2 linked regions of the Xenopus tropicalis genome follow. The protein of the gene in region 2 interacts with the protein of the main gene of each other region in a pairwise test. Links are inferred from orthologs where the notes say so. Each region holds a gene or a part of one and is shown on either strand. Other genes may lie near its edges.

Region 1 (4,520 bases), on a different chromosome or scaffold from region 2:
CTGTAATTCTGAACTTTCTGGATAATGGGTTTCCGAATAATGGATCCCATACATGTATCTGGAAAAAGTTGACTCAAAACTAAAACCTGCACAGGAGGTGTTAATACAATTGCTGAAGAACATATAAATCTCAGAGACATATACTATATGCACTGTTTTCTGTTCTATTTATGCAGATTTGCAGACCGTCCACAGCAAAATAAATACGCTTTACTTCTATACGGCAATGTGCTGTGTGAAAAGCAGCTCAACATTTCTGTGCTACTTTTGCACACTTATATATATGACATATCACAGGCCTTAAGACAGGGAAGCGTCTCATTATACAATATTTATTTCCTGCTATTTAGATTTATTTTATCTTATGGACAGACTGGGATTCACTCAGCAAAATATGCCAAAGGTATATACTAGAATTTGCCATACAAGACATTTCTCTATTATTATGTACTATAATAAAAGGCCACAGCTACAGGTTTTTAACAGCATTATTATACTAGGATGGGAGAGGTATGTGTCACCCTCATAGTGTTTCTATCAGTTTTGTTTTCCTTTTAGTAATCAAAATGAAAACCTGCAAAGCCCTTGCATAAAAAGAAAGTTTTCATCTAATGTATTATTAAAATGAAAACAACTTTGAAATATACCTCAGAGCTTAAGTGTATGATGATCTCTGCCTATTTATGAAAGTGTTCAATAACTAGAGTATAACGAAAAAAAAAAAAAAAATACGCATGCAGCTTATTTGGGGTTTCTGGAAAGGGGCTTTGAAAAGGCAGACTTACAGGAGAATGTTCAAAGTGTTGGGAAAAAAAAACAACCTATCCCGCCTAACAGGAAGTGACTGAATAAGCAAAACACAAATACAAAAAATAAAATGCAAGCATTTTTGTTTTTAACTTTATTGCATTTCAAGGGAAAAACAGCATTCTTATGGGGGGGAACCCTTTGAAATCCATCTATATGCACTGTAAAGTTTACTTGGTGTTTAAAAACATCTCTAAAGAAGTCTATAACTGTTTGCCATTAACCAAGAATATAAAACAGTATTCTAATTACTGAAATATTTAAGCCTTAAATTAAAATATCACAAATAAAGCCAAACTATGTTTGTCTGCATTCAAATTAAATCAATTAATATTTAAGCGATATCAGGTCACTTATAAATGTTAGAATTAACGAGCACACTAATATGTACCAACCCCCCTGAAGCCATGTTATAGGGTACCAGCAATGAAGTTTTAGCAAGTTTAATTGTGTGTAAATGAGTGCTTTGGGTATTCACATATTAGCCCCAAACGGACAAGCTAGAACTTGGGTCTCTAAATTGACCAATACAAATTACAGCTTTCTAGAACCTGGGGTCCTTAGCCCTCTACTTGGCAGAATGTTTGAGTACCACAAAAGTTGTGCTTTAATGCTTCCCTGCAATTACTAAGGTGATGTAGATTTCATACTTTTGAAGTCTAATCATACCTGACATACTTTAAATGCAGATCTGCATTAAGTAGACAATACTAAATAAAACAAAATGTAAAGATCTATTATAAACAAATTTTATTCTCACTGTCCAGATGTTTTCATCAAACAAAAAGTAATGAGCAAGCATGAGGGAAATAATGTGGAAGTTCAATAAGGGATTGCAGTGCAACAAAATATATGGACAAGAAAACCGTACCAGTCTTGGATGAAACATGGAAATCTCTGAAATGTTACAATCTTCATTTCTTCATGAAAAATGTGTCAAAATACATACACAGACTGCCAGAGAGACATTGGGGCCAATTCTGTTTTTAGAGCTTCAAACATTCAACACAGGATAAAAAAAACTGCAGAACAAGGGTCACATAAATATGAAGCTTTAAAAGCAGGATTAGTGGAACCTCCCTCTGGTAATCTTGGTCAAAGAGCTCACCCTCACCAGTCTACACTGACCCTTGATGCTGCTGTTACCCAACCAGTGGACAACTATTAAACCATGACTAGAAGGATGCCCGGGAGCTGGGGTAAGAATATACAGTAAAAAAATAAAAATATCTACCCATTGCTGCCAGAAGAGCAGACAGTTGGTGAACCCTGACGATCAGATATTTCAGGAACCCACTAACAATTCGAAATGAAGTCATGCTCAGCAAAAAGACCTGCCTGCTTTCCCTCTGTACCAACTAGCGAGCCACTCAAGTCCAACCTGCGGCCCTTCAGCTACTAATATGCAGCCCTCAGCTCATCCTGACAGGACCTTTAGTTCGACCCCGGCTGGAGTGCCGCAGGTAGGAGCATTGTTTATAAATAATAACCTAAGAGTCACGTTAAACTTTAAAAAGAAATTTAACTTTAAAAAGTAGTGTTAAAAAATATGGGAGGAAAAGAAGAATTCGTTCATCGCATCATGAATATTCCCCTTTGAATGAAGACTATATTGCGGGAAAACATGAACGATACTAGTCGCATGTATCTAACAAGCCACAAAAAAAAATATATATATACATACACACATATATAATATATATATATATATATATGTGTCGTGATAAGCACCGTTGACTGTCGCGACAGTGAAAGATTGCGGAGGTCTCCCCACCGGTGACCCCCTGTGGCTGTATCGCACACCCCAGCTCTTGCCGCCGCCGGCTGCCTCCTCCCGGCCGCCATTATCCTTTGTTTCGCGGCTCTTTATTTCACCCCCTCCGCACGGTCTCCATTTTTACTATGGCGGGGTAAACATTCTGTATTATCTAAGGGGGTAAAAAGGGGAACCATGACAGGCGGGAAAGCAAGCTCGAAGGAAAAGCCGGCGCGCTGTTCTTGGCAGCCCCCAGAAATCCCTCCCTACAATCAGTTGCCGCCTGGGTATTTGTGAAAGCAGCCGGCGGTGAGGCCTGCTCCATCTCTTTTCCTCCATGCCTCTCCCTCTCCTCCTCCTTCCTCTTACCGGGTTACACTGCCTCTCCTCCGTCACTGCTTTCGTTCGCGGCTGGGATCTCGCTGGGCTTTTTTTTATTCTCTTCCCCACCACGTAACACACCGCGTCAAACTACACCTCCGCCGCGTCACTGCTGCTCTTGCTCTCTCTTCTTCCTCTTGTGGTGGCGCTAGTTTTTTTTTTTCTTAAGCTCAGGCCCGGGCGCGGCGTCAGGGCGGCGGGCTCTTTTCCGACAGGACACTGAGGAAGGCCTCGACAGACTAGGCAGCCAACAGCAGAGGGCGGGGCGGAGCTAGCGCAGGGTGGAATCTGGGCAGGCGCAGAAGTTAGGCCTTAGTAAAACCTTTCTGCTGCAGTTGTACTACAGTTCCCAATACCCCTTTCCGACACTGTAAGCGGAAACCCGTGTATCTACTGATGCGACAACTTGCACAGGCTGCAGTAAAGCTACAGAGCTAACAGGCAGTTAAGGTTGGTGAGTGTGGGAATTATGAGAAACGGGCTTTGGTTACCCGCGGCGACCTTACCTGTGCTTTGGCTGCTTTGGCTGAATGAACAGTGCCGTTGTTGTGATTAAAGCTATCAGTTTAGTTTTCATGTTTTACAGGTTAGTCTGATAGTTTTATTACGATTCTAGAACAGATAACGTTACCCTGTCGCCCTTCTTCTTTTTAAATCGGAGCTGTTTCATGAAGTGCTTATGACGCTATAGTGTACTTGCCACCTTGAGTATTAGGTGGCCTGATGAAGGGGTTCGCCCCCGAAACGTTGCCTTGAATAAACACGCAGGGGTTATACCCCACTTGCACTTTACTTGTTGTGCCGGCTGAAATCATTTTTACTGGACTTTGCGGAGAGTGCGGACTCTCTGGGCCGTGCACCAAGTAGCTAACCTGTTGGAGGAGGTAAGGGTGTGCTGGTGTAACTATTTTTCCATTGCAACTTAAGGTTGCCATACGGGGCCAGATTTCAGATGCTAATTCTGTTCCTTAAGACCGACTCTGCAGCTTATTTGCCCCTGCATGGGACCCTCCGACAGAACCCCCCCAACAGATATCTGGCCAAAAATGATCCAGATGTTGATTGTACGTGCTTGATTTTTTGCAGGATCGGGGACTGCATTGGCTTATTGATGTGGTCCTTGATCTGGCTTTTCCTATCCCCTTCATTGCAATGTGATGGGGCACGATATCACCCACCCAAGGTAGGCATATCGGGTGAAAGATTTGCCCGTTTAGTGACCTTGCCATGTATGGCCAACTTTAAAGGAACAGTAACATCAAAATATGAAAGCATATTAAAGTAATTACAATATAATGCACTGTTGCCCTGCACTGGTATAACTGGTGTGTTTGCCTCAGAAAGACTATTATAGTTTATATAAGCAAAGCTGCTGTGTAGCCATGGGGGCAGCCATTCGAATGAGAAAAGGCACAGGTTACTTAGCAGATAACAGATAAAATGTGATTGTATTCTATAGAGTTTATTTGTTATCTGCTATGTAACCTGTGCCTTTTCTCCTTTTTTCCAGCTTGAATGGCTGCCCCCATGGCTACACAGCAGCTTATTTATATATAGACTATAGGAGCGTTCTGTA
Region 2 (4,611 bases):
AGCCTGATTATTGGGTTGCGCTTACCCTTATCCCCTGTAATACTATCAATCACATAATTCTGCGGGTGTCTCGGGCTTACAGATCAGGAGCAGTTTCTAATGTAGGGGTTTAAATCTGATTCAACCAAAGTCCTTTATGTTTCACTGAAACAAATATACTATAAAAACAGAGGGATGTGCCAAATCCCAACCCCAAAAGACGTGACCCCAGAGCTGACACGCGTTTTGGGTTCTGTTAAATCTGTAAAACACAGAGCGCCAAATGAAGCAGGGCGTGGCTTCCCTATGCAGACTCCGCCCATTATAACCAGCAAATGGGGGGGGGGGGGGGGGTGAGAGTTTAGTGTATCTGCCATGCTGAAATAAAGACCCACGTGGAACCCCATGAAAATTCTGAGGAGACCTAAATGCAAAAGAGTCAGGGTGTTCTTGTTGCCACAAAGTCAGTTCCGGGGTATGGACTGGGGTATTAGAGGCAGTAGGCATTCTGCAACCATGCTTGGGGGCTACATATACCCCTGTACTGCTTCATACTCATACTTTGGGGTTTATAAATCCTTCATGGTTCCATTTCAGGGGCTGCTGGGAAATGGAACAACTAATGTACCAACTGTAACAGTTGCTATGGGTCAGACGTTAGTAACGCTCAGGGAGCATACTCAGTAGGGGCTGAAGGGGCTGCTGGGAAATGGACCAACTAATGGACCAACTGTAACAGTTGCTATGGGACAGGCATTAGTAACGCTCAGTGAGCATGCTCAGTAGGGGCTGAAGGGGTTGCTGGGAAATGGACCCACTAATGGACCAACTGTAACAGTTGCTATGGGACAGGCATTAGTAACGCTCAGTGAGCATGCTCAGTAGGGGCTGCAGGGAAATGGACCAACTAATGGACCAACTGTAACAGTTGCTATGGGACAGATGTTAGTAACGCTCAGGGAGCATGCTCAGTAGAGGCTGAAGGGGCTGCTGGGAAATGGACCAACTAATGGACCAACTGTAACAGTTGCTATGGGACAGGCATTAGTTATGCTCAGTGAGCACGCTCAGTAGGGGCTGAAGGGGCTTCTGGGAAATGGACCCACTAATGGACCAACTGTAACAGTTGCTATGGGACAGGCATTAGTAACGCTCAGTGAGCATGCTGAGTAGGGGCTGCAGGTAAATGGACCAACTAATGTACCAACTGTAACAGTTGCTATGGGACAGACGTTAGTAACGCTCAGGGAGCATGCTCAGTAGGGGCTGAAGGGGCTGCTGGGAAATTGACCAACTAATGTACCAACTGTAATAGTCCAACCAATAGTCCAACCTCCTACATACAGCGACAGAGCCGAGAGTCCAACAGTACCTTCTATTTGATCCCTGGACACGGAGAATTCAGCTGCAAGTTCTGCCTTTAATCCTAAAAACATCAAAAATAAATAGAAATCATTATTTCGCAATTATGGTTCATTTACAATAACCCAACAGAACTCGGCTCCCCGGTGCTCTGGGCCCAGCGCCCGGTACACATTGTGCAACTTCCAACGAAATTCCGTTTGGGGCTCAATTTGGTATGATCCGAGGGCAGAACAAGAACTTTGTGCCCAAAGGTAACCATGGTAACGACCCAGAGTTCCTATATCCCACAGGAGAGAATATATGGACACAAACGGAATGGACCTGCTGGTTTCCCTTTGGGCTAAACATTAATCTGTAACAATGGCCCCTTTATTGGAGCTCCCTATAGATCCTCTCAGGTCCCTGTCTGGGTTTCATATGAGGGGTGGGCGTGTCCCAACGGTCCCTGCCAGAAGCACAGTAGGAGTGGGAGAACCAATCACAAGCACAGACAGCCTTCGGGTCCCTATCAGGTCAGCCTAGCTGCTGATTGGTTCCTGTGCTAAGGTGAAGTGGGCGGGCCTGGGAAAGGAACCAGCAGGAAGTGGGACAGATGGGCGGGACTAGTGGAGTTTTATAAAGATATTTTCAATAAATACACCCAAAACACTACTTTTTAAAGCCCATTCCTTCTATAGGGAGATAAGTACAATTCATATGTTTTTTTCACGCAATATTTCCCCTTTAAACCCTAACAGGTTCCAATTTCATTGGCTAAAGCCGGAGATCACGGATTGGGCAACTGGATTCGCATAAATGCGGTTCTACGGCCACAGAGTGAAACCCGCGGGGCTGGGAATCCCTTCGGCCTGAGGAAGGGGGCAAATAAAGGCCCAAACGTTGGGCGCGCACATCTCTATGATATATATATATGGGCCAGTTGGCCAGTACATGACAGGGATAGCTGTGTGCATTCAGGCAGCCATATATATATATATATATATATATATATATATATATACACACAGAGTCAAACCCGCGGGGCTGGGAATCCTTGCGGCCTGAGGAAGGGGGCAAATAAAGGCCCAAACGTTGGGCGCGCACATCTCTATGATATATATATATATGGGCCAGTTGGCCAGTACATGACAGGGATAGCTGTGTGCATTCAGGCAGCCATATATATATATATACATACACAGCAATATAATAATAATATAGTTGTGCCTGAGGGGCCCCTTGGTGCTGCCATTGTCCCACCCCTCACTTGTGTGAGCCCCCCATTCCCCTTGGTGCTGTCCCACCCATGGGTGCTGATGCTTACACCCCACTACAGACTCACAGCAGGGAGCCCTCACCCCTACACCATGCTCCTCCTCACAAAATAATCCCCATGAAGCAACATGGAGGTGGAAGGTTACATTGTGGCCTGGACTCCCGCACCCCGACACTGCAGGGCCCCAGGGCCTACCCGTACATCCTTCCCGCCCACTCGGCCTCTTACCTCCTCCTACTGCCGCGCAGCCCCGTTCGCTCCCAGGCTCGGTCCCGCCCCGGGGTTCCCTCCCCCCGGTCACACCCGCCGGACACTAACCGCCAGCTGCGTACAAAGAGGGGAGAGCGGCGCGGAGGGACACGGGCCACACGGCGCGGATGGATACCGTGACTTCATTTCCTCCGCGTCTCCTGATTGGCTGCTTGCCTGAGGCGGTCCGTGACGTCACGGCTGCAAGGCCCTACCCTTGATGGAATAGACAGGGGCAGCAACAGTGTGAAATAACAATGGCTCAATGTGTTTTAATATGGCTGTCACTGCAACAATATGGCTGCTTCTGTCTTTAATCAATGGCCTCCTGCTTCCCTGTTAGTAGCAATATGGCTGCCTGTGTCAGTAATGAAAATATGAAATGGCCCAATGGCCCTATTTAAAATGGCTTCCACTTTAATATTGTGGCTGCTTGTGGTACTAATGACTGTGTGTAATAACAAAGGCCTTCTACTTCCCTATGTGTAGCAATATGGCTCCCCTGTCATTAATAACTAAAAATAACAATGGTCCAATTTAATATGGCTGTCAGTGTCATAATATGGCTGCTTGTGTCAATAATAGTGTTTAATAACAGTGTCTTCCTGTGTGTAGCAATATGGCTGCCTGTGTCACTAGTAACTGTGTGTAGTAACTGTGTGTAATAACAGTGTACTATGTGTGTCAGTGTGTCATTAGAAAGTCTGTCATAACAATCTTTCTGTGTGTAGCAATATGGCTGCCAGTGTCACTAATAACTATGTAGAATAATAATTGTCCAATGGCTGTTTAATATGGCTGTCAGTGTAACAATATGGCTGCTTCTGTCTTTAATTACTGTCATATCAATGGCCTCCTGCTTCCCTGTTAGTAGCAATATGGCTGCCTGTGTCATTAATGAAAATATGAAATGGCCCAATGGCTATTTAATATGGCTTCCACTTTAATAATGAGGCTGCTTGTGGTACTAATGACTGTGTGTAATAACAATGGCCTTCTACTTCCCTATGTGTAGCAATATGGCTCCCCTGTCATTAATAACTGTAAAAATAACAATGGTCCAATTTAATATGGCTGTCAGTGTCATAATATGGCTACTTGTGTCAATAATAGTGTTTAATAACAGTGTCTTCCTGTGTGTAGCAATATGGCTGCCTGTGTCACTAGTAACTGTGTGTAATAACAGTGTAATATGTGTGTCAGTGTGTCATTAGAAAGTCTTTCATAACAATCTTTCTGTGTGTAGCAATATTGCTGCCAGTGTCACTAATAACTATGTAGAATAATAATTGTCCAATGGCTATTTAATATGGCTGTCAGTGTAACAATATGGCTGCTTCTGTCTTTAATTACTGTCATATCAATGGCCTCCTGCTTCCCTGTTAGTAGCAATATGGCTGCCTGTGTCATTAATGAAAATATGAAATGGCCCAATGGCCCTATTTAAAGGAACAGTAACACCAAAAAATGAAAGTGTATAAAAGTAACTAAAATATAATCTGCTGCTGCTCTGCACTGGTAAAAGTTGTGTGTTTACTTCAGAAAGTCTACTATAATTTATATAAATAAGCTGCTGTGTAGTATGGGGGCAGCCATTCAAAGGAGAAAAGGCACAGGCACATAGCAGATAACAGATAAAACACTATTGTATTCTACAGAACTTGTGTGTTATCTGCTATGTAACCTGTGCCTTTTCTCCTTTTTTCCAGCTTGAATGGCTGCCCCCGGGGCTACACAGCAGCTTATTATATAAATTATAGTAG

Evidence for each region.
Region 1: the proteins of pogz (region 2) and creb1 interact in a two-hybrid assay, tested with the Homo sapiens proteins (2 studies listed by BioGRID and IntAct). The link is inferred for Xenopus tropicalis from reciprocal best matches to the Homo sapiens genes POGZ and CREB1.

The regions. Positions count from the first base shown.
Region 1 is NC_030685.2:49,782,815-49,787,334, forward strand, and holds the start of creb1 (cyclic AMP-responsive element-binding protein 1), read right to left. Parts: upstream 3,067-4,520; 5' UTR 2,933-3,066; intron 1-2,932.
Region 2 is NC_030684.2:144,795,228-144,799,838, reverse strand, and holds the start of pogz (pogo transposable element with ZNF domain), read right to left. Parts: upstream 3,036-4,611; 5' UTR 2,828-3,035; intron 2,704-2,827; exon of another isoform or gene 2,682-2,703; intron 1,406-2,681; 5' UTR 1,352-1,405; intron 1-1,351. UniProt on the Homo sapiens protein: Plays a role in mitotic cell cycle progression and is involved in kinetochore assembly and mitotic sister chromatid cohesion.